Linked DNA regions of Notamacropus eugenii. The protein of the gene in region 1 interacts with the protein of each later gene in a pairwise test. Links are inferred from orthologs where the notes say so. Each region holds a gene or a part of one and is shown in the gene's direction. Other genes may lie near its edges. The genes, in order: TACC3 and KIZ.

What was found.
Region 2: the proteins of TACC3 (region 1) and KIZ interact in binary tests that used the Homo sapiens proteins (3 or more experiments, as listed by UniProt). The two-hybrid records come from large-scale screens. The link is inferred for Notamacropus eugenii from reciprocal best matches to the Homo sapiens genes TACC3 and KIZ.

The regions. Positions count from the first base shown.
Region 1 is NC_092877.1:50,054,099-50,069,059, forward strand, and holds the start of TACC3 (transforming acidic coiled-coil-containing protein 3), read left to right. Parts: upstream 1-9,337; 5' UTR 9,338-9,584; intron 9,585-11,873; exon of another isoform or gene 11,874-11,933; intron 11,934-14,961. Other genes in the region: TMEM129 (E3 ubiquitin-protein ligase TM129), read right to left, coding at 1,513-1,717. UniProt on the Homo sapiens protein: Plays a role in the microtubule-dependent coupling of the nucleus and the centrosome. Involved in the processes that regulate centrosome-mediated interkinetic nuclear migration (INM) of neural progenitors.
Region 2 is NC_092872.1:596,697,639-596,713,517, forward strand, and holds the start of KIZ (centrosomal protein kizuna), read left to right. Parts: upstream 1-8,115; 5' UTR 8,116-8,177; coding exon of another isoform or gene 8,178-8,206; 5' UTR 8,207-8,246; coding exon 8,247-8,332; intron 8,333-8,391; exon of another isoform or gene 8,392-8,508; intron 8,509-15,879. UniProt on the Homo sapiens protein: Centrosomal protein required for establishing a robust mitotic centrosome architecture that can endure the forces that converge on the centrosomes during spindle formation. Required for stabilizing the expanded pericentriolar material around the centriole.

The DNA.
Region 1 (14,961 bases):
CGATGATCCAAGACAATTCTGAAAGACTTATAATAAAAAATGCTATCCACCCTCAGAGAAAGAACTAGTGGAATCTGAATCTAGATTGAAGCATAATTTTTTCCTTTATTTTTTTGTTTGTTTGTCTTGCAACAAGGCTAACAAGGAAATATGTTTTGCATGATTACACATGTAAAAATGGATATCACATTTCTTGCCTTCATCATGGGTGGGGAAGATGTGCAAGGGAGGGAAATAATTCAGAATGCAAATTTCAAAAAAATCAATGCTAAGAATAATAAATTTTTGGAAAAAAATGAAAATAAGAAAAGGGAGCTTATGCTAAAACAAACAAGAACTTATAGATTATTATACCTGTGGTGCAGTGGACCCTGCACCTAGAATGAAGAGGATCTGAGTTCAAATCCAACCTCAGACATTCACTGACTGTGTGACCCTGGGCAAATCACTTAATCTGTTTTCCTTAATTTCCTTCAATATAAAATGAGAATAATAGCACGTATCTCCCAGGGTTATTGTGCAGATAATATAATATTTGAAAAGCTCTGCAAACCTTAAGGTTATATAAAAGCTACTTATTAATATTGCTGATTCTTAAGACCATCCCCAGAAATCTGCATACTGACTTTATTTTGTTCTGACATGTCAGTCACTTCCAGTAATAAATAACATTCCACAAAAGTACAGTCAGGCCAAGTCATAATACAGTGATTCTGACTGCCTGTCCATATCACTTGTGTTTTACAGCCTTTTGTTTTTTTTAAACAGAAAGGAAGTGTCCTTGAAGTTTGGTAATGTGTAACCAACACTGTCCATTATGTTTGACTTGCATTTTGTTTTGTTGCCTTCATGGCATGTATTTCCTGTCTGCATCCTTTCTTTCCTGCCCGGATTAAGGATAAACTCCTTCAGGGGAGGGGCTTTGTGATAATGTACCACTTTTCATCTCTGTATCTTCTCAGGAGCCTGGCCCAAAACAGGAACGAACATTAGAAAGGCTGGTTGACTGGAAGTGAAGAGCTCACAAAGGCTCTTCATATCTGTGGAATGGTTCATAGGGCTTAATGATTTAGGGCTGGAAGGGCAGCCCCCCTTCCCTTGGCTTCCTTCAAGCCCACCCACCCCATTCTGCAGGGGTCCTTCCCCAGCCTGGGGGCTGGACCCTCTGCACCGTGCAGCACCCCCTTGGGACCCTGGGGTGGGGGTCGTCCCCAATGGACTGAAGCCCCTGGAGGCTTCTGAGCCCGCACCCCCGGCCCTCCCCAGGGGTCTAGACTGCAGGCACCCCGCCCCTTCATGCCGACCCAGGGAGGAGCGGGTTTCCTTGGGTCCCCCACCGGCCTCTCTCCGCGCCGCCCCGGCTTTGCCTGGCCCAGGGCCGTCAATGCGGGGTCCCAGAGTGGGGGTGCGGTGTGACCCCTCCGGGTAGGGGGCGCGACAGACAAGGAGCTGAGTCAAGCCAGACTAGCCTGGTCAGCCGCCCCGCCCCCCGGCGCCCCCGCCCCCACTCACCCAGCGGCAGCAGCGAGTGGACCAGCATGGTGACCGTGGTCCTGCGCAGGTGGTACTGGACGAAGGCCACGTCCTCGATGCCCAGCCAGCTGGACAGCAAGTTCTGCACGGTCAGCCCCGCCGAGTGGAACTCGTTGGGCGTGAAGACGAAGCAGACAGAGAAGACTATGTAGGCCAGGGTGAAGGTCACCTCGGGGCTGTCCATGCTGGTCCCCCGGGCGCCGTCAGGCCGCCCGGTGAGGCAGCCCAGCCCGGCGGGGTCCGACCGGAGCGTCGGTGGAACGAAGACCGACCTGCCCGCGGCGCCCGGCCCCGCCCCCGCCCTGGGCCGCAGGGACTTCCCGTCCCCGGCCTCGGCGGCCGCGGGGGCTGCTGGGAAATGTAGTTTCCAAACCCGTGCCCTCCTCCCGCTCTGTCACAGAAGCGTCCGCTGGAGGTGCAGCTCAGACATCACCGCAGATTTGGCTTGGAACGCCCGAATCCTCTTACTCTGGGCTGGACTCGTTAACCCACGCTTGCGGTGGGGGTTGGTGGTCTGTCTGCAAGCCGCAGTGTTCCCATTAAATGGTTCCAACATCTCTCAGCGTCTTGTACAATTCGAGCGCTCGCCTTCCATTGGGTATCGTCCAGACTGCGACAAAAAAGAGGCGAGGTCTCTTCAGTTCAAGGAGCAGCCCCCCTTCTTCTACAGGGGAGGAAGCGGCGCCCCCAGTATTTAAGGGACGGTCCCAGCGGGGGCAGACCCAGGACTCTGCCCTCCGCAGCAAGCCACCTCACCTTCTTTGCCTACGCCATCCAGTTTTAACGATTAAATACAGATGTACAGTGCCTGTGTGTGTATACGTACACATATAATATACACAAAATATACATATATACACATAATGTTGTATATATGACTACATCCCACAATATAGCTTATTGATTGTTAACAGATGGGAAGCGTCCTTTAACTCTGACAATATAGAACTGCAATTGACCCGTATATTTGCCCAGTTTTGTGGAATACCAATATTGACTTGTTACATTGTTGCAATCATATATTGTTCATTTGGCTCTTCCTTCTGTCACATCATACAATCTACTCGTGGGATAATTTTCATTTCCACTTTATCAGACGTTAAGAGGAAAATTTTCTCTAAGATTACACCTCCTCACTTTCTCCTCTCCTAATCCCTTTCCCCCCTCCCTGTTTTTTGTTCCTTCTCCCTCTTTCCTAACCAATGGATACCTATTTTGGTTCCAGTTCTTGCTACCATAAAAAGTGCCGATGTAATCATTTTGGTGTATGTGGATCTTTTCTTTTTGTCAATGACCTCCTCAGGGTGTGTGTGTTCGTCCTTCGTTGCGGAAGAAGATCACGCCATCAGAGAAATGATGACATGACTTGCACTTGACTTTGTTTTGAGTGAGGGAGGGCTGTGCAGGTCACCAGCCTCACTTCTCCTCCAGAGCCATCTGAATCCAGAGACCAGATATTCATCAGGACGACTGGAGATGACCCAGAATGAGGCAATTAAGGTTAAGTGACTTACCCAAGGTCACACAGCTAGTGAGTGTCAAGTGTCTGAGGTGAAATTTGAACTCAGGTCCTCCTGACTCCTGCACTGGTGCTCTATCCACTCAGGGTATCTGCCTAACAGAGGAATCTTTGTGTCTAAAGGTATGAAAATATTAGTCATTTTATTTGCATAATTTCAAATTGCTTTCCAGAATAGCTGTGCCAATTCAAAGCTCAACCAACAGGGCAGTTCCTATAGTTTGTCATCTTATGTCTATGTGGTATACACACACACACTCACATATAGACTACATAAAAATATATAAAATTATTATATCAATATATTATGTAGCATATTTCTATATTATATAATTATAGTTCTATATTTATATACACATGCACATTAAATATAACACACATGTACATATACACATATGTGTGTACACATAAATACACCCATACATACATATCCAACCTCTTATGTATATTTGTATATATATTTGTGTATACACACATATATTTATTTATAAATTACATGCAAATAAAATATGTAAATACATATACACAATAGAGAGTGAACCAGCTGATTTCCAAACTCCATTCAGGCTCTGACATTTTCTGAGTATATGTACTTAAGAAATCAGCTGTTCTACTCTTTGGTGTTTTACAGAAGATGAAATTGAGGCAGAGAGCAGAAAGGCTGAGATAGGAGGAATTAGAACCCATCCAGGACTCTTTCCGCAGTGCCACACTATTCCTAGATAACTAAAACCCTTTAGGGGTGGGGAACCCGCCCCCTCAAGGCCATATGTGACCCTCTAGCTTCTCAAGTTCAGCCCTTGGACTGAATCCAAACTTCACAAAACAAATCCCTTTAATAAAAGGATTTCTTTTGTAAAACTTGGACTCGGTCAGAAGGCCAACCACAGGACCTAGAGGGCCACATGTGGCCTTGAGGCGGCAGGTTCCCCACCCTTTCCCTAGATAATCAAACTTACAAAGAATTTTTATTCATTCATTCTTTCAACACATTATTGGCCATATGGTTAGGACTACTAGTGTCTTATGTCTTGAATGCTCTTACCCTTCCCCTCTGACTCTTAGAATCCTTCCTTTGCTTCAAAACTCTGCTCAAGTGACAAAGTGCTGTGGTCTCTCCACTCACCCACCCCTGCCTTCTCTCCCCAACCCCCAAAGCATTAACTTGAATTTATTTTGTACCTTCATAATTAAATGCTTGTTAATTGACTGATATGACCAAAGTACTGTATGAGTACTGAGGGTAAAATGGCAGACAAGACAGGGACTTATTATCTGAGGAAATAAAACACAGCTGACTTTGCCATAAGGCAGAATGTGATCAGAGCGGAGGAGGGATCCAGGAACAATGCTGCTCTGAGGAATTTGAGGAGAGAGAGACTGCCTTTGGAAGGAAGTGATACCTGAAGTAAACCTTGGAGGAAGAAAGGAATTTGGAGAGATAAAGATCAGGGGAGTCCATTACAGGAATAGAGGACAATGTGAATAGGGCAGGGTGATTAGAGAGGTCAGAGTAAGACAGACATGGGTCTGCTGCCAAAATTTCTAAGGTACGAGTGGGACGATGCTACTTTTCTGCTCAAAAACATTCTGTAGCTCCCCAGTGCTCATCTCTAGTTTTCAGGGACTCTTTCAGGGGGCTCTATGAGGTTAAAATTGTATTCATAATAATGTCAAGGTGCTTTCACTTCTAACAATAGCTCTTGGGGGAGTTCTCAATAATTTTAAAAAGCATAAAGGAGTCCTGAGACAAAAGTTGAGAACTGCTGACCTTTAGGAGAAGCATTTAAGGCCTCCTACAACCAGGCTCCCGCCCTACTTTTTCAATTTTATTTCATATTATTCCTATTCAGGAACTTCATTTCAGCTAAAATGGGCTATTAACTATGCCACAAACTTGACATTTCATCTTCCACCCCCATGTGTTTGTACACACATTCCTTTTTGCCTGGAATGTTCCCTCTTTCTCATTTTTGCATCTCCAAATCCTTACCTTCCTTCAAGGCCTCAATAGAGGTCACCTGGATTTTCTTATTTACTACTGCCTTCTCTCCTCTCCTCAAACTAACTTGTAAAAAAAAAAATAACTTTACTTGTGTCTATATTGTATCCTCTTAGGATAGTATAAATTCCTTGCAGGCAAAGGCAGTCAGTTATTCAAAAAGTCAACCAGCAAACATTTATTGAGCATCTATGATAGTCATTGGAAAACAGACCAAATTGAGAGTGCTTGCTCTTGATAAATAAATACAAAGTAATTGGGAGAGACACAAACAACTGGGAAAATGAGGAAAGGCCATGTAAAGGATGTGGCACTGAGATTAACTGCCATCTCTATGCAAATGACTCACAGGCTCTCCCTTGAGCTTGTAGTCCCATATCACTAATCCCCCACAGGAAATTTCAAACTGAATGTCCTGCAGATATCTTCAACTCAACATGTCCAAACTAGAACTCGTTATTCCCCTCCACCATCCCCAGGAAAAAAATCAACCAAAAAACCCAACTCCTCCCCTCTCTCAAACTTCCTTATTTCAGTGGAAATTGCATGCACCAACCTCCCAGTCTCCTCAACTCCTTATTGTCCTTAGGGCCAAGGATCTGATGAGGTTTGAGGAGTGCTGGGGACCCTGAAATACCGACACGCCAGGTCCTGCTCAAATGAATTCGACTCAAGACTTCTTTAAATCAAAGAAAACCAAAGTTTATTAAAGATTCACCACCTTAGGTTGACTCTTTAGGAGCCTAAGATTTATAATACTTGTATTCACAAGCAGTCGAGATAGAATCTCAGCTAGGCAGAGTCTGAGCTGGACTGAATCTGAATGCCTTCATGGAGGCGAGATGGAACTTAAATACAGAAAAAGACTGAGGGAAGAATCCAGGTGTCACCAGGTAATCTCAGGTCCCAGGGGTGGTCTAGATAGATTAAACCCAGAGAGGAGTGTCTGGTAATACGATCAAAGGGAGGCATATCAAAAATGCTAAATAGAAGATAGGGAGTATGTGGCCTGGGAGAAATGGAAGGGGAATCCAAGGAGCCATCCCCCAAAAGCCAGACTTCCCAGCAACTCTTCCGATCCAAGGGAAAAAGGTCTTGGGTTGGGCTTGTACCCCATCAGATCCAATCAGTTAACAAATCTTCATAGTTCTGTTTTCACAATAACTCTCACATTGCCACCCCTTCTCTTGACTCACCCAGCCATCACCCTAATTCAGACTCCCTATTTCTCTTTTGAATATGACCAATTCAGAGACACAAAGGAACACTTGTATGAACTGATGTCTACAGTGAAATAAGCAAAAACAAGAAAATGATATATGTGATGACTACAGTCATGTAAACAAAAATGACACTAAAAATTAGTCAAAATCTGATAAACTGTATCACCAATTTTGGTCTGAGGTTCAGGGACTACTAGAATGGAATGTTTCATGATTGGTTGTTGTGCCAATTTGTTTCGCTGAGTTGTTTTTTTTTTTCTTTGGTGACAAAAGAAGTCAACGGTGGTGGGGAAGTGAACTGAGAAATAATGGTGGTGTAGAACAAAAGGAATCAAAAACTGAAAAAAGAGAGGCCAAGTGTTGCTACATGAGCAAGACAGAACAAAAACTGTGGCATGATATTGAATTTTGTAGTCCAGTTTGGCTGAAGTATATGAACAAATGGCCCCAGATGGCTTAGTGGATAGAATTCGAGGCCTGGAGTCAGGAAGACTTCTTGAGTTCAAATTCTGCCTCAAATACTATGTGACCCAAGCAAGTCAATTAACCCTGCTTTTACCTCAGTTTCCTTATCTGTAAAATGAACTAGAAAAGGAAACCACTCCAGTATCTTTGCCAAGAAAACCCGAAATGGGGTCACAAAAAGTCAGATAGGACTGAAATGACTGAACAAAAAGCCTTCTGCGGTCCCTTCCAGCTATAAAGTTCTATGAATTATTTCTTCACTATGCTGACCAAATACATTATCTGAATCGCCCTCTTGTGGTGACTTGTCTGATGGACATATATAGTTTTATCGTCTTCCTCTGTGAAAAGCTACTTCTGCGGGAAAGCAAAAATGATACAGTATTGGAAATCATTAGGATCCTTATTCGGGGGGTCTGTGAACTTGTCTTTTTTTTTTAAATTTTGATTACTGTATTTTAATATAATTGCTTTTCTTTATATGGCTGTTTTATTGTTTTAATTTAAAATTTAAAAAATTAATTTTTAAATTCTAAACTTAATTTTAAATATTTTTTTATTTTTAACTTAAAATTACAAAATTAGAAAAGAAAAAAACTATTGCCATGTACATAGCTGAGCATAAGAGAGGATTCAATATAAGACAAATTTCCATATAAAATACATATATATGTAAGACCATACTATGCTTATTTTCTTCCATCATCTGTTTTTCTGAAGGTGTATAGCATCTTCCTTCCTAAGTCTAAGTCTCTATGTTTTTCTAAATCAATCAGCTCATCATTTCCTACATCACAGCAATATTCCAACCTGTTTACATCCTATCCGAGGGATTGTCTATGAAAGTTTTTTCCTGATTTTCTGCATTCTTGGCTACATAGGTTTTATTTATAGAAGAAAATTTCAACTTAAAATAATTGAAATTATCTTTTTGACACTTCAACAATGCTCTCACCTTACACTTTAAGGTTTGATACTACCAAATCTACTTCCTTTACATCTTTTTCCCCCAGGTTTCCTTAAAGTTTCTGACCTTTTGTTCTTCCAAATGAACTTTGTTATATTTTTTTAACTCAATAATTTTTTTTTAGTAATTTAGTTGGGATGGCACTGAATACGGAGATTAGTTAGGTAAAACTGTCATTCTAAAAATTATATTGGCTTTACTTACCCATGAACAATAAATATTACTTCAATTATTTAGATCTGCATTTATTTCTATAAAAAGCATTTTATATTTATGTTCATATAGTTGTGGTGTCTATTTTGGCAGGAATACACTCAGGTATTTTATATAATCTAGGTATTTTAAATGGTCACTCTAAAACTATTGAATAATATTGCTGACACAGAGTATTTTTCACTTTTGATTAAATCTATTTTAACTTTAACTTTGAGATGATTACTATTCCTGCTTTTTTTACACATTAAATTCTACTCTTGCCTTTTATTTTATCTTTGTGTCTATCTCTCACTTTTATAAAGTTTCCTGAAAGCAACTTATTGCTGAATTCAGATTTTTAATTGTTGTCCTTTCAGTTTTATGGGTAAATTAGTCCCCTTCACATTCTGAGTTACAATTACTTGTTATGCAGCCATGGTTTTAAAGGACAGTGAGCAAAGTGTTCTCTTTGAGTGTAATTTATGGGCTTTATAAAGCCAGGGAATCTGGCTTTATCTGTTTGTATTTGAGAAGAAAGAAAAAGGCAGCATAGCAGATCACAGAGTCCAGGACCAGAAGTCAGGACATTCGTGACCAATCACAATTTGGCTGCTCAGTTGCTTTGTGACCTTAGATAAATCACTTTCCCTTTCTGATCCTCCTGGTAAAGGAGAATTTTGGGAAGTGTCTTTGAAAGTGTCAGGGAAGTGCCAAGACTCCCAGCTGGGGAAAGTGAAATGTGAGTTTTCGTTTTGGGGGGAATGTATCTGTGAATACATTAGTGCTCCCTCCTGTTAGCACAGATTGCCACTAAAGTCAGACATGAAAGAGTGTTGCAAAATAGGTAAAATTACGCCACTCTTCAATCTTTTTTGAAAAGTTATTTTTCATAAAAATGTTTATGTTACTTCGAATGTTTACTGTTGTTTTAATTGAATTAATAAAGATTTTAAGTTTGTTAGTTTTAATTTCAAACGTAAAAAATCTATATTAAATATGCAAACATACAAAAATTAAATACGTAGCGAAGGCTGTGTCCCACTAAAAGAAATCCTTTGGGGTCCTCAACAGTTTTGAAGCTGGTAAAGACCAAAAAGTTTGAAAGCTGCGGCACCCATCAGGAGGCCTACTTCTCTAGTTATCATTATAACGAATATTATTACTCGTACGTTTAAACGATGTAGCTTATACACATTTGCCGCATATTTTCAGCATCTTTTTAATGGCATAGAATCTTTATAGCTTCCCTACATAGCAGGGCCACTTCTCGACTTCATTTCCCAGCCTTTACCGCGCGACCGGAAACGGAACTTTCGTAAGCGCCAATTGGCTCCCAGCACTACCACTTCCTCCGAACGACTGGAAGGTACCCGCGGACAAAGGAGCGCAGGGAAGGAGGCGGGGCTCAGCGGCTACGCACCCGTGGAAGCAACGGAGTCTGCGCGTGTCCTCCTCTGCGCATGAGCTTCCTGATCTGCACTCTGATTGGCTGAAAGAGCTCGACCGTTCCTATTTGAATCTCGGCGGCTCGGGGGAGGAGCTGTCTAAGCATAGTCGCCGCCGTTGCTTGGGGCTCTCAGACTTGCTGCTTCTCTGCGCCCCGGCGCTTCTCCGTCCCTCTCTCGGGAGCCCTTCTCCTTCCTCGTCCGCGCTCGCGACCTGCGGGCCATAGCCTGGCAGGTAGGAACGTCGTGCCTCCCTGGCCCTGCCCTTCTCCGTGCGAGTGGAAGGCTGTCTGAGGCGGCGAGGCCTCTCTGGAGGGCGGGCGAGTCCGGGTCTCTGCGAGCTGCGGGGAGCGGTGGGGGTGGGGAGAGGAGGAAAGGCCCCAGGATCCATCCGGGCCAACCCTGGTGTCGGCGAGACCCGAGTTCAAGTCCTGTTTCTAGCACTAAGGAGCTGGGAGCCCCGGGCACGTGTCTTAACCTCTCGGAGCCGAGGTTTCCCTGTTTTGAGGCTGAATGCACCGGGTCTCAGACACTTACTGGCGGGGTGACCTTGGGCAAGTCACTCCCCCTCCGCTCGCCCTGGTTGTCTTATGTATAAAATAGGAAGGACCACAAATGGCAATTGTAAAGCGCTTGTCTCTGTGCCTGGAACCCAGTAGGTGCTTAGTAAACCCTGATTCCCCGCACCCCCTACCCCCAGTCCATAAAAGGGATAGTAATTGTACCTACTTCTCCCTAGGTTTTTGTGAGGCTCAGTAAAGGACTCGGCAATTCTTAGAGCTCTATATAAACGCCAGTTATTAGTTATTGTTCTTATTCTAGAAAAAATATTGTAGAAAAGATATTCTAAAAAAAATTCTAGAAAAAAATTCTGCGGAGTTAAAATATGAACAGGCCAGGGCTTTTTTTGTTTGTTTGTTTTTCTGGCTCTCCTTCTCTTACTGTTCTAATGCCCTCTGAACTGTTCACAGGTGGATACAATTACTGCCTTTTGTATTTGAATAAAAGTGTTAGGTTGTCAAGTTATTTTGTGTGAACTCCAGGAGAAAGACTTCAGCACAACAGGATGATGGGAATTTCATCCTATTTTCACCTGATTTTGATCTCCTTTACTAGGACTGTTTTGGAAGGCTCTTTTCTGGGAGTGATTAGGGAAGGAGAGTGGGAATACACTCATTTGGAGAGTGATTCCTGATGTTTGTTTCCTTTTCTGTCAACTGACATTTATTAACCACCAGTTTACTATGTGCCAGACACTGGGCTAAGCTCTGGGGATGCTTAGAAAAATAAACAAACAAAAAAACTGTCCTGTGTTCTCCAGGAACTCACAGTATAATGGAAAGAAGTCATACAAACACGATGTAATCAGGATAAGTTGGGAGCAGTCTCAGAGGAAAGACACGAGAATTAAGAAGTGTTGGGAAAGTCTTCTTGCAGAAGGTGGGTGGGTCCTTAACCAAGGTTTAAAGGGAAGCTAGGGAGGGCAGGAGGGTGAAGATGCAGAGAAAGAGCATTCTAGGCATGGGGGCCGTACTGGAAATGCTGGGGAAATGCAGTACTCTGTGCCAGAAGTAGCAGGAAAAAAAATTTTTTTTTTCTTCAGTCAGAACCAGCTTTTACTGGTTCTGTGCTCTATTTTGCCTAGATTTCTGTTAACCTGGTAATAACAATATCTATATCCAAGATGACTTTAGGAACCCAAGCTTCACACTGAGTTGGGGGGCTCAGGATATTTGGGTGTACACTTAACAGAAGATTTGCTTTCATGAGCATGAACTCACATCTTTGAGGGCATAGTGCTGGTTGCCCCAGGGGCGATCTTCCTCACAGGCATGATGTATGTTAAGGTGCTTTGGGAATTAGAAATATTTGGTTTCAGATCCATCCTCTGATACTTCCTAGCTTGTGTGACTGTGGGCAAATCATTTACCTTTTTTCCCGCCTCAGTTTCTCATCTGTAAAATGGGAATAATAGTAGCATCCACATCCAGGGTGTGGGGATCCAATAAGATATTTGTAGAGAGCTTAGCACAGTGCTTGGCATATAGTAGATGCTGTGTAAATGTTACTATTATTATACATGGTTAGTTATTGTTACCTTCTCCTAGGTGGAAGATCGATAGGCACCTGAGATGAGTAAAGATAAGGTAATTTGTGAAGCCAAAGAGCCACTAGCACCTTGGGCTAGCAGGGAAGGCTTCCCAGAGCAGGTAGCACTTGAGCTGATTATTGAAGGAAGGTCAAAATTCTGAGAGGCAGAGTTGAAGGGAGTGCATTCTAGGCATGGGCAATTGGTTTGTTGAGTTTTGTGGATAGTTACTGGTTCAATTTGGTTGGAAATTCAAAAGGGAAATAACATGGGGAAAAAAAGACTGGAAAGTTAAGTTGGAGTCAGATTATAGGGGGCTTTAAATGAAGTAGCATGTGTTTCATACTAGAGGCAGTAGGAAGTCATTAGAAATTTTGAGCAGGAAAGGGACATGATTAGATCTGTCTTAGTAAGATGATTTTTGCATCTGCATAGAGCATGAATTGGAGAGAGAAGAACCTGGAAGCAGGAAGACCAATTAGGAGGTTGGTCCAGGTGAGTGTAATAAAAGCTTCAACTAGAGAGAAAGATTGATGCAAAAGATGTTTTAAAGGTCGAATCAGTAAGTTTTGGATAAAATGATTGATTTTTAAAAATTCAAATAATTCACATCCTGGCTCTGCCACTTAATTTGTGTGACCATGAACAAATTGCTTCCTTTCTTTATAATCTCCAGTGCTTTAAAGTTTGCAGGATATTTTTCTCACAACAATCTTGTTAGCTAAGTAGGGCAAGGATATTATCCTCATTTTACAGAGGAGGAAACTGAGGCTTTGAGAGGTTGTGTTTGTCTGTAAGTATTGATAATATTTAATATCATTTTTGGACTTTAATAAGGGCCAGAGCTTGAAGAAGAGCCTGGACCTAACAGTCTCTTTGTTCTCTGAAGTAAACGCAGAGAATACCTCTTCCTATGTCAACAAGGGCAGATGGGGCTGACTTAGCATACTTTGAGACCCTGAACCTGAGATACTATCTTGAATAGTGGGACTTTTTTTTATTATCTTGTGGACATGTACTATGTTACAACATGTTAATGACAGAGAAAACACAGATGTTCTGAGTTGTAACTTCACTCAACACCTTCTCAAGTCTCTTCTCTTATTGTATTTACAACCTATCCAATTAAGAAATTCCTTTCTTGTGTTATAGTTAATCACTCATCCAGACCATAAATCAGAAGGACACAGACAACTTTGGATTGTCCTAAACCGATTTAAGCCTGGTCATTCTTGTATTAGTCAGTCAAAAGTTTTTCTGGCTCCGTGATCATGTAATAAGCTAGCTTAAAAGTGAATAAACTGTTTGTGTTTAGCTTGTTTGCCTTCTCTTAACCAAACTTTCAGGTGGACCTTTTCCAAGTAAGATCTTTCTCCTACTACTGAAATGACATTCTTTTGACCTTGGCTTATTGGGAGCCCCTGATTTTCTCCAAGACTCCGATCAAAAGTTACCTTCTGTAGGAAGTTTCCTGATCTCTGTGCCCTGCTCCCCTCCATTCTTGGGCCTCCCCCACCCAATTCCTCAGCCTCCAGCTACTAATCCTGCCTTGTCTTCCAAGGTTAATGTATTATCTGCCTTATATACCTAACCTGTACCTGTCCCCTCCTCTGCTAGAATGTAAGATTTTTGAGGACAGGAGCCATTTCATTTTGGGGGTTTTTTGTATCCCTAACACCTATCACAGTGCCTAGCACAGATTACATACTTAAAATACTTGATTGATTTTTGTCATGGTGACACCTTTTCAAGTTTTTTATGGGTCAGTGTAATGTATCTGATTCTGATGTATAATTCAACTACCAGGTCTTGTCTTGCTAAGCATTTGGTAGGAGATCCAATCTTTGTAACCTACGGGATGCTTCATTATGTATTATCTTGTCATCCCCCTACTCATTTAACCCCAGTGGTTCTCTTTTGCCTCTAGGAGCAAATACAGAATGTTGTTTATGACATTCAAAGTCAACCATTCATGCCCCACAGGCTTTTTCTACCTTACTGACGCTCCATCTCAGTGCCCCATTCTTGGAACATTCTTCCTTCTCTGCTCCACCTGCTGCCCTCCCCACCTTCCTCTTAAGTCCTAACTAAAATCCCACTTTTTTAATGAAAGCTTTCCCCAACTCCTCTTACTTCTAATGCCTTCCCATTGTTAATATCTCCTATTCATCCTTTCTATAGCTTGTTTTGTATGTGTTTGTTTGCATGCATGTTGTCTTTTCCATTAGACTGTAAGCTCCTTGAGGGCAGGGGCTATCTTTTGCCTCTTTTTGTATAGTGCTTAACATAGTACCCGGCACATAGTAGATACTTAATAAATATTGGTTGATTGATTGAATTATCTTCTTTGATTACTAAGTCTGGATACCTCTATGGGCAGCAGCTCACACCCAGTGCCTCATTATTTGGGCCCTGATTGCTCAGAATGAAAGCCAGTTGTTTGTGTTTTGGCTAGAAACCCTGAGGGTCTTCCCCTCCAAGATATCTATCTATCTATCAACGTGTGTGTGTGTGTGTGTGTGTGTGTGTGTGTGTGTGTGTATGTATGTATGTATATCTTTTTTTTTTTTTTTTGACTAGGTTAAAGAGGTCATTCTTTGCCTTATTTCTTACTTAGCCTGAATCACTGAATGTGTGCTGCCTTAGTCAAACTGATGCCCGGGAACGATCTGAGCTTAAAATGGCCATGGTTTCCCACTGCAGTGGGGCTGTCTCCATTTGTCCTTATTTGCATCTTGCCATTGGACCCCCCGGATGGTTCTGGACGAGAAAGTGAGGCTGATGATTTTGCACAGCCCTCCCTCATTTAAATCTAATTCACTTGCAAGTCATGGCATCACCTTCCTGATGTCATGGTCCCCTTTGAGAATGAAAGACAAACAACTTATGCTAGATGTGTCTTGCTTGAAGGGAGATCAAAGTATTGTAAGTATTGCCTTAATTCATTGGTTCAATTTCATTTCCGTGTTCAAGCTCAGAGGCTTTAGTTTGTACCTTTCCTTGTTGTACATTAAAAATTTTACACTTATCAGATAGGTGATGTTTTGATTAGAGAAAAGTGGCACAAGCTGACGGGAGCTGTTTACTGTGTATGAAGATATTTTGGTTTGATGCCCTTTTAAATTTGAAGCTTTACTTAAATAGGAGAGAAGATAATGGATTTAAGACTAGGCAGGATTGTAATGGACTTAAACTGTCTTCCTGAACAATGCCACACTTATCAGTTGCTGGTGTTGCATGGTTGATGGTGTGTTGTAAGTGAGAACCATTTTCCACATAGATATCAAATACCCTAGCAATGTCCCTACATTGGGATCTGTTTTACGTATCTTTAGCATGTGTGGAACTGAACGACTGCCACAGAGGTAATCGGTGTAAATGCCCTTTGGCTTAACTGCTTTAATGAGGACCATTTTTTTGCTCCTCATCCAGTATGTTGTTTTCTTGTTGAGTGTTTAAACTTTCTGTGTAAATCAATGATTCAGACTATGAATGCTTGGCATGAGGTGATTAAACACAGAAC
Region 2 (15,879 bases), on another chromosome or scaffold:
GTATCTGTTCTCTGGTGGTCAATAGGAATACCTTAACCTCTTAGGAAAGGGCCAGCTCAAGCATATACCAGAGAAGATAGTTGACGAAGCTGAGCAGGTGGCACAAGAAGAACCCACTTGATGGGCAACTGAGATATTGTATTCCCTACCTGTATAATTAATAGGTCAGCATGTTGTCTTTCTGTAGGTCTAAAGAAAGGTAGCATTCAAGCCACACAAACAGAGAGCCCCATATGGGAAACAGTATCACATATGTCTTCAGGTTTATTAGAATATTTATGCTACAGAAGAAGAATTATTATCTATGTATGCAGCTACAAGTAAGGCAGGGGCAGCTAGGTGGTGTAGTGGATAGAGTACCAGTGCAGGAGTCAGGAGGACCTGAGTTCAAATCTCACCTTAGACACTTGACACCCACTAGCTGTGTGACCTTGGGCAAGTCACTTAACCCCAACTGCCTCATCCTGGGTCATCTCTAGTCATCCTGATGAATATCTGGTCATTGGATTCATATGGCTCTGGAGGAGAAGTGAAGCTGGTGACCTGCACAGCTCTCCCTCACTCAAAACGAAGTTGAATGCGAGTCACGTCATGATTTCTCTGATGACATGGTCTTCTTTGGCAACGAAGGATGAACACACACACACATACAAGTAAGGCAGATATATGGCTCCTGCATTTGGCCATCCAATCACTAGAGGCTCTCTTTTCTACATTTCACCTTTTCCCCACTTCAATCATGAAATTAACCACAAGATAATTCTGATTCAATCCTGATGGGGACACCAAGTGTTCAGAACCAGGCCTGACTGACAGTTTAAGTTCCAATTTGGAACAAAACGAGTTATTTGTGAACCATCTATCATTATGCAAAGAAAGGAGGAAGAAGTTTTTATTAGATGCCTACTAAGTGCCAAGTTCTAGGTTAAGTCCATTGCAAATATTATCTCATTTGAGTCTCAAAACAGCCCTGTGAGAGAAGTGCTATTATGCTCTTTTTTTTTGCAGATGAGGAAACAGGCTGAGAGAGATTAAGTGATTTGCTCACTCATACAGTTAGTAAGTATTAAAGACTGGATTTGAACTTAGGTCTTCCTGAGCCCAGGCTCAGCATTCTATTCATTGCACTACCTAGTTGTCTAGTTTACTTAAGGATAGAAATGGAAAAGTTATTCAGCTAGGATACAACATTGATTCAGGTGGAGAAACTTCTCTTCACTTCTGCATTTGCCACCCTGCTGTTGATCAGAAGAGTGTGTTTGTTGACTAGTACAGCTAATAAGACATCTGTCACCTGAGAAACATACTCTTTATATACTGGACATTTATACTTGAGAAACCAGGAAACTATGCCAATGGTTTGAGCGACAATGCTGTGGCCTAATTAAGTATGAGGGTGGCTTCACTGTCTTTTTAGGATAAAAATTAGTCTAACTTATATAGAGTAGATGGTGTACTTACCACTTATAATCATAGGTGGGCCTGTGATATCTGGTAATCAACAGTTTAGTGACATTTCTCAAATAATTCCAAACTGTTTCTAAACTGATTGGACCAATTCACACTACCACCAAATGTATTAGTGTGCTTATTATCTGTCTGCAGCCCCTCTCACATGGACTTTGTCTTTTATCACCTTTGCCAATATGATGACTATGGGAAGGAGTTGTTTTAATTTGCATTTTTTATCATTTCAGATTTGAATTGTTTTTAATATGGTTGTTGATCATCAGCATTTCTTCTTTTGAAAATTGTTCATACCTTTTGACTATCCTTTGGGGAATGGCTCTTGATCTTATAATGATCCCATAAACTTCTTGTATGTTATACTTTTATCACAAATATTTGATGCAAAATAAATCCCTGATTGACAGTTTTTCTTCTTAGTCTAATGGTATTGATTTTGCTCATGCAAAAAGCTTTTTAGTTTTAAGTAAATGAAATTGTTTTATTATATCTTTTATGACCACTTCTATCTCTTGCTTGATTAAAATTTTTCCCCCTAACCAGGGATCTAAAAGGTACCTCTTTTCATTTTCCTTTATTTCTATGTGATTTTTTTATATTTAGTTCACGAATTCATTCACACACATTTACTGTATATAGTGTAAACCTATATATCCAAACCTAATATAATATAAGGGCTCTTACAGAAGAATATTTACTTTGGGGTATAATAACAAATATACAAAGTTATTCCTCCATCACAGGGGAAGCATAGCCCTCCACTGTTCTGAACTACCTTACTCTCTGGGGAAGAGAAAAGGGTTAGGTTCATAGCTTAGTTTGGTTCCCAGACATCACAGTCCAAGTTCCAAATCCAAACTCCACCCTGGGGGACTTTACAAACAAATGAGCTTTACAAAGCCCATTTGTAAAAAATGTCTCATTAGAGTGTCTATCTTTTATATAAATACGTGTGCGTGTGTGTGTGCGTGCATGTGTGTGTGTGTGTGTGTAAGTGTCACAGTGGATAGAGCACTGGCTCTGGGGTCAGAAGGACCTGAGTTTAAATCTGGCCTCCTTTGGGGGAAAAGGGGTTTTCAAATCCCAGGGTTTCCATCCTTGGATGGCTTGCTACATCACCCTATCTGCAGTTCTGGCTGCAAGGTTACAATGGCTCAAACTCAGGATCCATGATCTCCAGGATCTAAAACTGAGGACAAACAACACAGAATGGAAACAAGTAAGAGCCAGGGTAAAAGAAGGGGAGGGGAGTGGGAAGGATTTTCCTTTTCCTCTCACTGGTTCAGTTCATGATGTCCAGATTTTGGGCACAGCTGAACACTGAAAGAGCACAGCTGAAAAGATGGAAGAATAGAGCTGAAAAAAGAGTGAACAGCTTGCTCTCACCAGTTTTAAGGACATAGGAGGCCAAAGAAGGCTACCCCCCCCCCCATGTGGTAGAGGATGCAGTGGGCTCCATGTTAGGTAAGATGGGCATGCATAAAGCCACTCAAGAGAGTCTCCATGTTAAAACTAGGTATGCCCAGAGAAGCTTGGATTACAATAATTTTTGACAATCTAACTTCCCAGCATTTCTGAGATAACCAACTTATTTCAGGTAAATTCCAATATAAATTGGAGTCAGCTAGCTAATTGGAACATTTATTAAGCACTTACTTTGTGTGAGACATTGTACTAAGCATTGGGGATACAAGCAAATAAGCAAAACAGTCCCTGACCATGAGCATCTTAACTTCTAATGTGAGAAGACAACATGTAAAGGGGACCTAGGAATGGAGATGGAGGTAATGATGATATAGAGTTGACTGGAAAGTGACTTAGAAACCTGGTTCTGGGCAAGATTACCACTAATTCATCTATCAGAGCCAGGGTTATCTTGGGGCAGAGTCCAATGTGGTGGTGGTGGTGGGGAAGTAAGGGTGATGGTCTTAGTATAGGCAAGTAGTTAGGAAATGAGTGGAAGTGAGTTTATAGGTCTTTCTGAAATTCCACAAAAGTCACTGAAAATAGCTGAAGTTTTAGATATTCAAATCTTTAAAAGAAATAGGAAGCATATTTGGTTTAAGCTGCCCATGAATTAGGGTATTCCTGTGTTATCTACCAATAATGTGATAGGTTACATTCTTCAGTCAATTATGAAACCAACAGGGTAAGAATGAAGAGTCACTATGCCATGTGTTTCTTCATTCTTCATTATGATAAACTGAAATAATTATTTTGGGATACAAGAACAGTGGTGGGGGAGAGGAGAAAGGGAAGGGAAAACTTCAAAGCAGTGTGAAAAATCAGTCAACAAATATTTATTATATGCCTACTACTGACTACAGGGTAGGGCCATGAACTCTAGGTACTCTATTTCAGAAAGGGACTCAATACAATCTTCTCCCCTTTTTCCACAGGCTATGTTGCTTTTGGATTTCTTTTTTCTTCTACTTCTCCTCTCCTTTTTCAGCTTCCTTTTATATGGTGTCCTTCCTAATTAAAATGTAAGCTCTTTGAGGGCAGGAATTATTTTTTAAAAATTTATATTTGTATTTCCAGCAGTGCCTGGCACATAGTAGGTGGTTAATCAATATTTATTGACTAAGTGACTACTATAAGCTGGGCACTGGCAGTAAAAAGATACAAAGAAAAAATCCCCAACCTTAAAGATCTCACTTTTTTTTTTCAGGAAAAACAGTATGTACACACATAAGGAAATACAAAATATATACTAAGTGTAAACACATATAATAAAAGAGAAAAAAACTCCCCATTGGGTTAATAGTTTGGAAACTGTGTTGTGTCCCTTTTCTGCCACTTAGCAGTTCTGAGAAGTTGGGCATGTCATTTTACTATTTACATATAATAACTGCCTTACTTTATGGAATTCTTAAGATAAAATAGTCTATGTAAAAGTTATTTTTAAAAGTACTATTCAAATGCAAGATATTTTTAACTGTGTTCATTTTATTTAAAGAAATCCTATGTGTTCATCATACTTTCATTCATTCATTCATACTTTGTTAAATGTGTCTATTGCATGATACCCTTAAAATTTATTTGAAGAAATACATTTATTTTTGATTTCATAAGTATATAGTTATATGACTAAGGGGATACTAGAATTTCCATTTATTTTACAATTTTTTAAAAGACCTAAGAAAACTGCCATTCTGTGCTAATTCCACCAACATAATAGAAAATTTCAGCTGAACATCAATCACTGAAAGGATAGAGTTGCACAGAAGCTATTTCTATGATATTGAAAGCAGGAAAGCTATCTTGAATCATTTCATGCAAATTTATACAGTGTCTCCCATCTTTGAATCTCAAAGAACTTTATAAGCAAAGTGACACTAGACATATTTTATAGAGAAAATCAAAATATTTAGCAGTTTAATGATTTACAAAGTCTAGGTCCAGTTTGTGACTAGAGGACATTTGTAAGCATTCTCTGGCCAGGTCTATATAAACCAAAACAAAGAAGTTTGATGTAATTATTGTGGTAGTTCAAACGAAACCCTACTTTTACCTAAATTATCAGTTATTGCACTATATATTTTTATACAAAAATCAGGGTCTTTATACTGGTTATTGAGGATAGAATCTTCTAGCTGTTTACAGACTTTTTTTCACAGTCCAGCAAGGAAATTTTATTAAAATAACCATGGGTTAAACTTAATAGCCTTTGTTAACTGGTGGAGATACTTTAAAAAAAAATTGATATTTTTTAATTTCCAAAGACATATACCTCTCCCTTTCTCCACGAGTTCCATTCCTTATAACAAACAAGAAAAGGGGAGAAAAGAGCACTTCCATAAAACTAAACTACACATTTACTGAGTTGATCATCATCTATGCAAAGTTCCACACCCATTTTTCCCCACCTCTCCAATGTCTTCTTTGGGGCTAAATTTGGTCATTTTCTTCATTTCAAGTATTGCTTCTTTGTTGTTCTTTCCATTTACACTGTAGTAGCTATTGCTTGTATTATTTTCCTGGTTTTGTTAACCTGAATTCGCTTTAGTTCCTGTCTTCCTATTCTTCTCTGCATCCTTCTTATTCCTCATTTCTTTCTTTTTTTTTTTTTTGGAGGGGGGAGGCAAGGCAATCTCGGTTAAATGACTTGCCTAAGGTCACATAGCTAGTAAGAGCTAAGAGTCTGAGGCCGGATTTGATGTCAGGAGGACCTGAGTTCAGGTCCCAGGCTCTATTCACTGTGCCACCTAGTTGCCCTTTCCTCATTTCTTATAACACAGTAATGCCCCATTATATTTAAGATGGCAATTCATTTAGTCATTCCTCAAACCATGAGCATCCACTTTGTTTCATTTTTTGATTCATCAAGTAGAAGAGCTTTAAATATTTTTGTTTTATTTGGGAGCTTTCTTTCTGCCTTTGATCTCCTTAGAATATATTCTGATAGCAATGGGATCTCTGAGTCAAAAGGTATAAACATTTTAGTAACTAGTGCTTTCCAAATGATTGAGCCAGTTAATTTAGTGCCACCAAGTGTATTCATATGCCTGTATTTCTATAGCCCTCTAACATTTGTTAACCCCATCTTCTGTCACCTTTGTCTATTTTCTAGATGTAAGGCAAAACCTCAAAGTTGTTTTAATCTGATTTTTCTTATTATAAGAATATCAGGTCACTGGATTCAGATGGCTCTGGAGGAGAAGTAAGGCTGGTAACCTGCACAGCCCTTCCTCACTCAAAACAAAGTCATGTGCAAGTCATGTCATTATTTCTCTGATGGCATTGTCTTCTTTGGCAACGAAGGACATACATGAGTGATTCAACACAATTTTTCATTTGATTCTTATTAGTTTGCAATTCTTTTGAGAACTTTATATCTTCCGACCATTTGTCCACTGGGGAATAGCTCTTGATCTTTGTGTTAATTACTTATATATTTCAGATATAAAAAACTTGAGAAATCTGATGTAAAGTCCCCCTCCCCCCCACCATTGGTAACTTCTCTTCTTATCCTGCGGGCATTGATTGTTACTGAAAAAACACTTTTCAATTTCATTTGATCAAAATGATCTATTTAATTCTTTGTGATAACAACCTCTATCCCTTGTTTGGTTAAGAACTTCTGTAGCCATAGTTAAGAAAGATACATGATCTGGTTCTCTGCCAATCTTTTCACAAAGTGGAGAGATTACTGAGCCTGGAGTTAGGAAGACATCTTCCTGTGTTCAAACCTGGCCTCAGATGCTTACTAGCTGTGTGACCCTGGGCAAGTCCCTTAACTCTATTTGCCTCAGTTTCCTCAAATGGTAAAATGAGCTAGAGAAGGAAATGGCAAACCACTCCAGTATCCTTGCCAAGAAAACTTTCAAATAGGTTCATGAAGAGTCAGACAGAACAGAAACAACAACAAAAGTCTACGGAGGAGACACTTTGACAGAGACATTTACTTCAGTGAATTTAAGGGGCTTAGCAAACCAAAAGAACATCAGGTGTGGTCTGAATTGTAGCTCCAGTATTAATTACCTGTGGGAATCTCTAAGCCTTGTTGCTCACCTGTGAAATGGGAGTAATAGTATCCATACTACCTCCATCCTTCACTGAAGCCTTCATGGTGATGTGGAGGTGATTTTACCCATACCTGTGAAACGCAAAGGTAAGCAGGTAAACTGGGGGTGTGGGGTACAGTCCAGCAGTAGCTTGCATGCTTTTTGCCAGGGCCTTACTTTTTTGATCAAAGCCAACTCTAGATCTTTTACTAAGACATCTAAAGACTATGTCTAATCTGACTGGTACTTAAGGGCAAGGCACTAAGTCTGGATATATAAACTGAAAAGACAAATCCCTGCCTGCAAGGGACTCACATTCTACCGGTAGAAGCATTCTTCTCAGTAAGTTCAACACCCTGAATGGCTGGGCCATCTCCAGTCATCCCGATCTGTACCTGGCCACTGCACCCAGATGGCTCTGGAGGAGAAAGTGAGGCTGGTGACTTGGCACAGCCCTCCCTCATTCCAATCCCATTCAGCTGCCAGCCATGTCATCACCTCCCTGAGGTCGTGGCCTTTTTCCAGAAGGAAGGGCAGACCACAACGCTGAATTATCAGGGTGATTCTGCTACACAGATCTGGCCTTAGGATGGATTTCTGCCAAAAGGCATTTACTGAATACCTCTGTGCCACGCACCGGAGAGAAAGCAAGTGGCAGTCCTCGTTCGGGTTCACAGTCTAGCGGACGCCAACCACGACGTCCAAGCAAGCTACGTACAACCACCAGTGGGAAAACCCTAGGATTCCGAGGGACTAGGAAAGGCGTCTACCCAGAGCTGGGGCTTGAGGGAAACCAGGGAATCCGGAGGCGTGGAGGACGAGGGAGGGCATCCCAGGCCATGAGGGCAGCCACAAAGAATGGCCAGGGCCGGGGGCACGGAGAACAGCCAGCAGGCCGGCAGGCCTTCCTCTGAGCCCCAAGGCAGCACCGGGGGATGCTCCCGCTCCATGTTCACGTGCGTGGACAAGTTGAACACGAGGCGCACAGGACAAAGTCGGCAGGCGGGGGGCGTTTCCGGCACGGCCCGCTCCAGCTCGGGCTTCTGGGAAGGGAGGGGCGGGGCTAGAGCGGAGCACGCAGCAGCGTCCTCCCCGCCCCCCCCCCCCCCCCCCGCCCAGGTCGCGGGAGCTCAGCAGCCCCCTCCCCCCTCACGCCCCGGTCCGCTCTTGCGCAGGAGGGAGGAGCGGGCTGAGCCGCAGAGCATGCCGGGGAGGTCGCTTAGGCTTTCCCGGTAAATACAGAGGGACGCGGCGGGGCGGGGGGCGCGCGCTATGGCGCAGTGCTCAGCGCAGGGCCCCTTTTCAGGCCCCGACTACTACGAAAAGCTGGGCCGCCTCCAGGGTGCGCTAAGAGACAGGTAGGGGCGGACGGGGCCGAGGTCGGGGGCGGGGCCGGGGTGGTCGAGGTCCTCGGGACCGCCCCCTTCCCGGTGGAGGGGAGGGGGCTGGGGGTGGTGTCCAGCGTGGAGCGTCCCTCGTCGGCCGTCCCTGGTCCGGCCCGGGGGGGCGGCTACTGCGCGCGGCTGGCCGGCGGGTGAGCGAGAGCGGCCGCCCTTTCCCTGCCCTTCATCTCTCTCCGCTTTCTCCCCTTTTCTCTTCCCCCCCTTTTCCTCTCTTTCCTGAGCTTTTGGGGGACGGCGGGGGCAGAGACAATCCTGTATTGATCAGCCTTACACTCGCCTCACTTAGATGTCAGGGACCCTGTCGCTCTTTTAATTCTAGGACCACCCCCAAGGTAGAAAGCTTCTTAACCTAGGGTCCATGGACGGATTCCAGGGAGTGGGAGAACGTGGAGGGGAAAAAAAATTCATCATTATTTTCACCAATCTTTGGTTTCCTTTGTAATCTTATGTATTTACTTCCATGCACTTAAAAACATTTTTTTTCCGAGAAGAGGAATATACATTTCGTCAGAATGCCCCGTTCATAATACAAAAAAAGATTAAGAACCCTTGTCTTAGAGCCGAAAAGTTGCTGCAGTCCTGGGAGAGTTTGCTGTCTTGTGTCAACTTCAGTTCCACAGGAGACAGGTCTTTCTATTTTGCCTACTTTAAAACTTCCATCTTCAGAAGTCCATTTGGGTTGGGATAAGGATGGTATCTTTAGTATACAGGTGTGTATGTTTGCATGTGACTGGGGGAATGGGTGAGGTCCAGAAAAGATTTCCAGTGAAGGATCACATAAATTCAGAAAAATTAAAGCTTTTCCAGAATGCCTTTTTGTCAGAGTTGGAAACGAGGAACTTTTTGGAAACAATCTGGTTTTAATAGGATGAAAATTTGTTACTGAAAGTTAAAAAAAACAAAAAACACTGCACATCCCAAAACAATTTCTGTAGCTTACTTTTGCTGCAAAAGTAATTGAAAGTGTGAGTAATAGCAGTTGGCCACCCAGTGGGAAGGTCAACTTTCAAATGCCTGAACAGAAAAATCAATGAAGTATTGAAAAAAGATACTGGACTGTGATTCTGGATACTAGGGGAATAGTATATGCAATGAAAAGCTTAAAAATAGCTCCATATAAGGAAAGTTAGATAGGAAGGATTGACAAAATTTTAACAAAATTACTTTTTCCTGAAAAAAGTACATTTGAAAGTTCAAACCATTAGCTTTTGAACGTGTCCTATACTGTCATGCCCAATAGCAACCTGTATAATTCAGTCAGTAGCCAGTTACTTGCGAAAAATCATTGCCAAACTTTTGCTTTACCTCTACACAATTTTTATCCACCTAATGTAGTTTTCCTGTCATCCACAGAAATTGATTAACCTGATTTAACCATGACTGTATTCAGTTGTTTTATGCAACTAATAAAGGCATAACACAGTACTCTTCTTCAGTACCTGGAAAACTCTTTTCACTTTCCTGTTATAGTAGTATAATAATTATTTGCATAAGGGTGGTTTGTTTATATTTATCAGTCAAGCATTTATTAAGCACGTGTTGTGATCCATGAACACTGGATCACAACCGTTAGGCATTGGCAACAAAAAGGACAAGAACTGGACAAGTGTCTGTCCCTAAGCTTGTCAGCCAGTTAACTTTATGATCCTGAATCCAGAATTGACAAATTTTATAGCATATTTTATACCCTAGATAAAGTAGTATTTTTGGACTAAAGTTTATTGTTATCTCATTTTCCATATCAGGGATATTTCCTATCCTTAGAGTGTAGCAGTTATATTGTAAATATTACTTGTGTTATGTTTTATATTAACTTGAATTGTCTTCTCTCAAGCAAATTGAACTTAGTGAAAAAAGGAATCTAATTAGTCCTTTATTGGTCTTATACTTTTAAAAAGGAAATCAATCCTTTATTTTAATAAATAATTCAGAATTACCTTTTGTAAATGTTAATAAAGAGCCTTATTCTGAAAGTCTGGATGTCTGACTTTTTAATCTCTTATTAGTTCTATAATCTTGGTTTAGTCACTTGTTTAAATGAGGAAATTCAACTACTTAACTTTAGGCCCTTTTCAACTCTAAAATTCTGTCTCATTGGGTCTATGATCTTTACTGCTATACTTGACTGCCACTGGTACATGACAAGTCAGTATTGATTTTCATGGTAGTGATGTCAGTGATTAGATAACAGATACTAAAAAGGGTGTGAGAGCACTAATCTTACTAATACTAATTTGTATTTAATTTGCTCTGTGATAATTTTGACTTTTAATTGATAGTTGAATCTGAAAAAATTAAATTCGGCAATCACGTTAAGCATCTGTTACATTCAAGACACAATACTAAGCACTAGAGATACAGAGACAAAAACAAAATAGTCCCTGTCCTCAAGGAATCTGCATTCTATTGGGGATATAGTGTTGACATCGGTAAGTTATATAAGATAACTTGAGGTGGGTAATAACAGTAGCTCACATTGAGGCTTTAGGCATTACAGAATGCTTTATAAGCATCTCGTTTTAACCTTAACCTTTTTAACCTTGCTAGATGAGGAAACTGAGGCTTTGGAATTAAGTGACTTGTCCAAGATCATATAGCTAGTGTAAGAGGTGGTATCTTTCGACTCTAGTTCCAATGCTCTTAGTAACTACCACCCTGCCTTTCAGGTGGCTTTTGGAAAATCTTCAAGAAGGCTATAGCATCTGAGTTGAGTCTCAAAGAAAGATATGGATTCTGAGAGGTAGAAATGAGTGTGTGTATTCTGAAATGGAGTGAGTGGTTTGTGCAAATTGGTGGGATGGTACAGTTGCATGTCCAGCAATTTGGAGAACATGTAATTTACTTAAAATGTACAATATATGATGAGCATAATAATATGTAAGTAGGCTTACTACTAGCAAATTACATATCATAAAAAACATACATCATCTACTGTTGTTTTATAGTGTCCCTATTCACATGTCTCAATATTCCAAAAAATAATACAAACATCTGGTCTTATCTCATGAATTTCAAAGTATTAATTGTAGAGTTCAGGGTCAAATAGAATATAATTCAGCAAAGACAAATACTTTAAAAAACATCTTTTGCAAGAGAAAGTTAGCTGTGTAGATCAACTAATGGAGACTGGCCAGTTATTTATATAAACACAAGATCTAGAGGTCATAGAATATGAAGTAGCAACACAGTGTACTTTTTGGAGTAGACTAGAGCATGTAATCCTTCCTCAAAAGTTATAGTTTGTTATACCCATGTTGTATCACCAGTGTGATGTAATGAAAAGTTCACTGGACTTGAAGTCAGAAAGTCTGAATTTGACTTTGACTCTACCTCTTATGAGTTCTGTGACCTTGTATAAAGATCAGTTGCCTCATCTTTAAAATGGGATAATAATCACATACTGACCCTGTATGAGAACTGCAAAGATAATAACGATAATAACAGATGGCATTTATGTAGTGCTTTAATGTTTGCTAAGTGCTTTATAGATAGTTCATTTTATCCTCACAACAACAGGGATAAGGGCTAATTTTGTCTCCATTTTATATATGAGGAAACTGAAGCAGATGAGGTTCAGTGAACCCCCAGGGTGACACAGTGAATGTCTAAGGCTAGATTTGAACTAAGGTTCTTCTAACTCAAGGTCCAGTGCTATATCCACTTGTCTACCTAGCTGTCTTTATCTTATGAAGTTAGATGTGGTTCTGTATAAAATTTGCCATGCAAGATGATAATTGAAACTGGAAGCTATGAGATTACTAAGTTAAGTAGTATGGAGGGAGAAGAGGGCTCAGGACAGGGCCTTTAGGGACCCCTGTGGTTAGTGGTCATGATTTGGATGAAGATCCAGCAAAGGACACAGAGAAGAAATGATCAGATAGGTAGAAGGAAAACCAGGGGAGAGCAATAGCATGAAAACCTAGAAAGAAGACAGTATCAAGAAAAAGGGTGATCAGTGTCAAAGGTCACAGGTCAAGAAGGATGAGGATTGAGAAGAGACCATTAAATCTGATGAGATCATTGGGAAGATGGCAGAAAAGCAGGAAGAAGTATAGGGGGTGTACAAAGAATACAGAAGTACAGAGAGTGCTCCCTACTCTTCTCCCACCCTCAAAAAAACAAAAAACAAAACCCAACCCTGCTTCAAATAGATCTAGAAAACACTCTAGTCAGATTCTTGATGGGGAAATTCAAGAAAAAGTCACAGTCAATCATTTTTCCAGCTCATGGGCAGCATAGGGAGACAGAAAAGTCTGGACAGGGAGCACACTATAACCACTCCAACATAAGAGAGGTGGTGCACCAGGATGAGAAGGTTCCTATTCCCAGAGAATAGAAACAGATGCCAGTTGGCAGCTTTATTTCCCACTATGCAGTTCTTGTTGTTTGTCCTTTATTCTTGAAGAAGACCATGACATCAGGGTGATGCCATGACTTGCAAGTGAATTGGATTTAAGTGAGGGAGGGCTGTGCAGTCACCAACCTCACTCTCTCCTCTGGAGCCATTTGGGTCTAGCGGCAAGAGACAAATTAGGGCAAATATAGATGCCCCCTACACAAGGGTACCTGCTATATTGTAGGACCAGTGGTTTTCTAATACATTTTCCTTGACCCTGACACAACTGCCTTTCTTGTACATAACCTGATTAGCCCCAGTATCCCTGATGCACCTTCCTGGGGCCATAAAAGGTTCCAACCTCATGGACTTGCTACTGTGCAGAGTTGGTGGGTGCCCAAGACCATTTGAATCAATATTTGGTTAGAAGAACCCTAATGACTGACTGACCAGAAGAGTTTGCAGGTAGAGATGAAGGGAACTGAGTCAAGAGAATCTAAATTCCACCTTGTTGCTGTGGTTAGGGCAAAGTAAACTTCCTCCTTTGTTAAATTTTCAGTGACTTGTGAGTGCCTCATTTTGTCCCAACATCGAACTAAGAGGGTGCCAGTTTTAGAGCTGTGCCTATGTTTGGTAAAGTCTTGGCAGACTGGGACAAAAGATGGCCTTGTGGCTTACGTTGTTGTTAAGTTGGGGTGAGAACCCTGCTGTTACAGAGGAAGAAGATGGTATGAACAGATGGAAGGGTACTGATTACCTATGGCTAAAGCCCTTTTAAAAATTTTCTACAACTATACATAGATATTTATGTGTATGATGCTATAACATATTCATTGCATAATATGTGTTTGCATATATATTCATGTTTTACAAAGTAGCTTTTTCTATTTACCGATCAGAGAAAGGTAGAATAAACAGATTATTCTCATTTTACAGGTGAAGATGAGCCTTCACACAAACTTGTTAAGACAAATCAAAAAAATTAAGTAGCTAGTACATACTAAGCACTTAATAAACACTTGTTGATGACTTGATTTAGCAAATCTAGGTGATTTGATAAAGCTCAAACAGCTAAAAGGTGGCAAATCTGAATAATTTTCTGAAGTTTTCTGAATGTAATTAAATGTTCTTTCTAATATATTACATCCATTTTAAAATTTTCTTTTTAAAAAATTTATGTATGTGTATTTTTAGTTTTCAGTATTCACTTTTATAAGAATTTGAGTTCTAAATTTTCCCTCCTCCTTTCCCTCTCCCCTCCTCAAGATGGTATGCAGTCTAATATAGGCTATACATGTGCCATCATATTAAATATATTTCCACATTAGTCATGTTGTAAAAGAAGAATCAGGACAAAAGGGGAAAACCATTAGAAAGAAAAAACAACAGCAAAAGAGAAAATAGTATGCTTTGATCAGCGTTTAGACTCCATGATTCTTTCTCCGGATATGGATAGCATTTTCCATCATGAGTCTTTAGGAATTGACTTAGATCATTGCCTTGTTGAGAAGAGCTATGTCTGTCAAGGTCAGTCATCCCACAGTGTTGCTGTTACTGTGTACAGTGTTCTGGTTCTGTTCAGTTCACTCAACCTTGGTTCATGCAAGTCTTTCCAGGTTTTTCTGAAATTTGCCTGCTCATCATTTCTTATGGAACAGTAATATTTCTTTGCCACCACAAAGAGAACTGATTTCTTGTTTTGTTCAGGTAGGTCCCTTTACCATTTTTATGATCTCTTTGGGATATACACCTAATAGTATTAGGTGTTGCTGGATCAAGGGGTGTGCAGTTTTATAGCCCTTTGGCCATAGTTCCATATTGTTCTCCAGAATGGTTGGATCAGTTCACGACTCTACCAACAAAACATTAGTGTTCCAATTTTCCCAACGTTTATCGTTTTCCTTTTTTGTCATATTAGCCAATCTGATAGGCGTGAAGTGGTGCCTCAGAGTTGTTTTAATTGGCATTTCTCTAATCAAAGTGAGAGATTTTTTCATATGACTGGATAGCTTTAATCTCTTCATCTGAAAACTGCCTGTTCATATCCTTTGACCATTTATCCATTGGGGAATGACTTGTACTCTTATAAACTTGACTAAGTTCTCTGTATATTTTAGAGGTGAGGCCTTTATCAGAGACACTGGCTGTAAAAGTTATTTCCCGGCTTTCTACTTCCCTTCTAATCTTGGCAACATTTGGCGTTGTTTGTGCAAAGCCTTTTTAATTTAATATAATCAAAATTATCCATTTTGCATTTCTTGTGCTGGGGGTCAGGGGCCTGGTCACTGGCTTTTGGTGTTAGGGCCTCAAGTACTGGCAACTAGAGACTGTAGGGATCTGGCAGCTTACTTGGTGCTGAGCTGGGGTCCTAGTGGTGTTGTCTAGTATGTGCTGAGGCCAGGTGGGGTTTTTCTTCATTTCACTGGGGCCACACTGAAGCACTGGAAGATGTGACCAATGAAGGATGCCTGTCCACTCCTGGGCTGTGCTGAAACATAGGGAGGTCTGCTGCTAGGGGACACCTGCCCTGCCTGGACTGCACCAGTTTAGGAGTTCTCTCAGCTGGAGTTTGCTGATTCCCGAGGCTATGCTAAGGTAGTTGGAGTTCCTGGTGTTGGTGCTTGCTGAGGTGGGGCTTGTTGCTGGCTTGCCGAGACACCTCCTTATCTTGGTCCATGCTCCTTTTTTACCTGAGTGAAATGGACTTTTCTTGACAATTCTCCAAGTTTCCTAGGCTAAAAGACTCCCTCACTCTGTTTTTCTGCTATTCCAGGATTTTCCTTGGGTTGCTATTTTCTGGGTTTTTCAGAAGTCAGTGAGGGAGAGTGAGTGATTTACTGATTATTCTGCCATCTTGGCTTCCAGAAGTCCATCTGTCTAAAGCTCTTCTGATTATATGTAGGACTGCCAGCAAATTTTCATTTAAACAGGTGGACTAGCTCAGTAGGTGCTAGAGTAGGCTGCCTGAAAGGTTAGAGAAAGTTCCAAGACCATTATTCCTCGGTTGTAATTGACTGTACTGCCTAAATTGGACCTTCAGCATAATCAGACTGAAAGTAAACCACGTTAGTCAGTAGCTAGAGAACTTTGTGCTTTCAGGAACCCTACAAAGAAAGCTGAGAGATGGCTAATGGATCTGTTGATCAGGTAAGTGAAGAGATCTCTC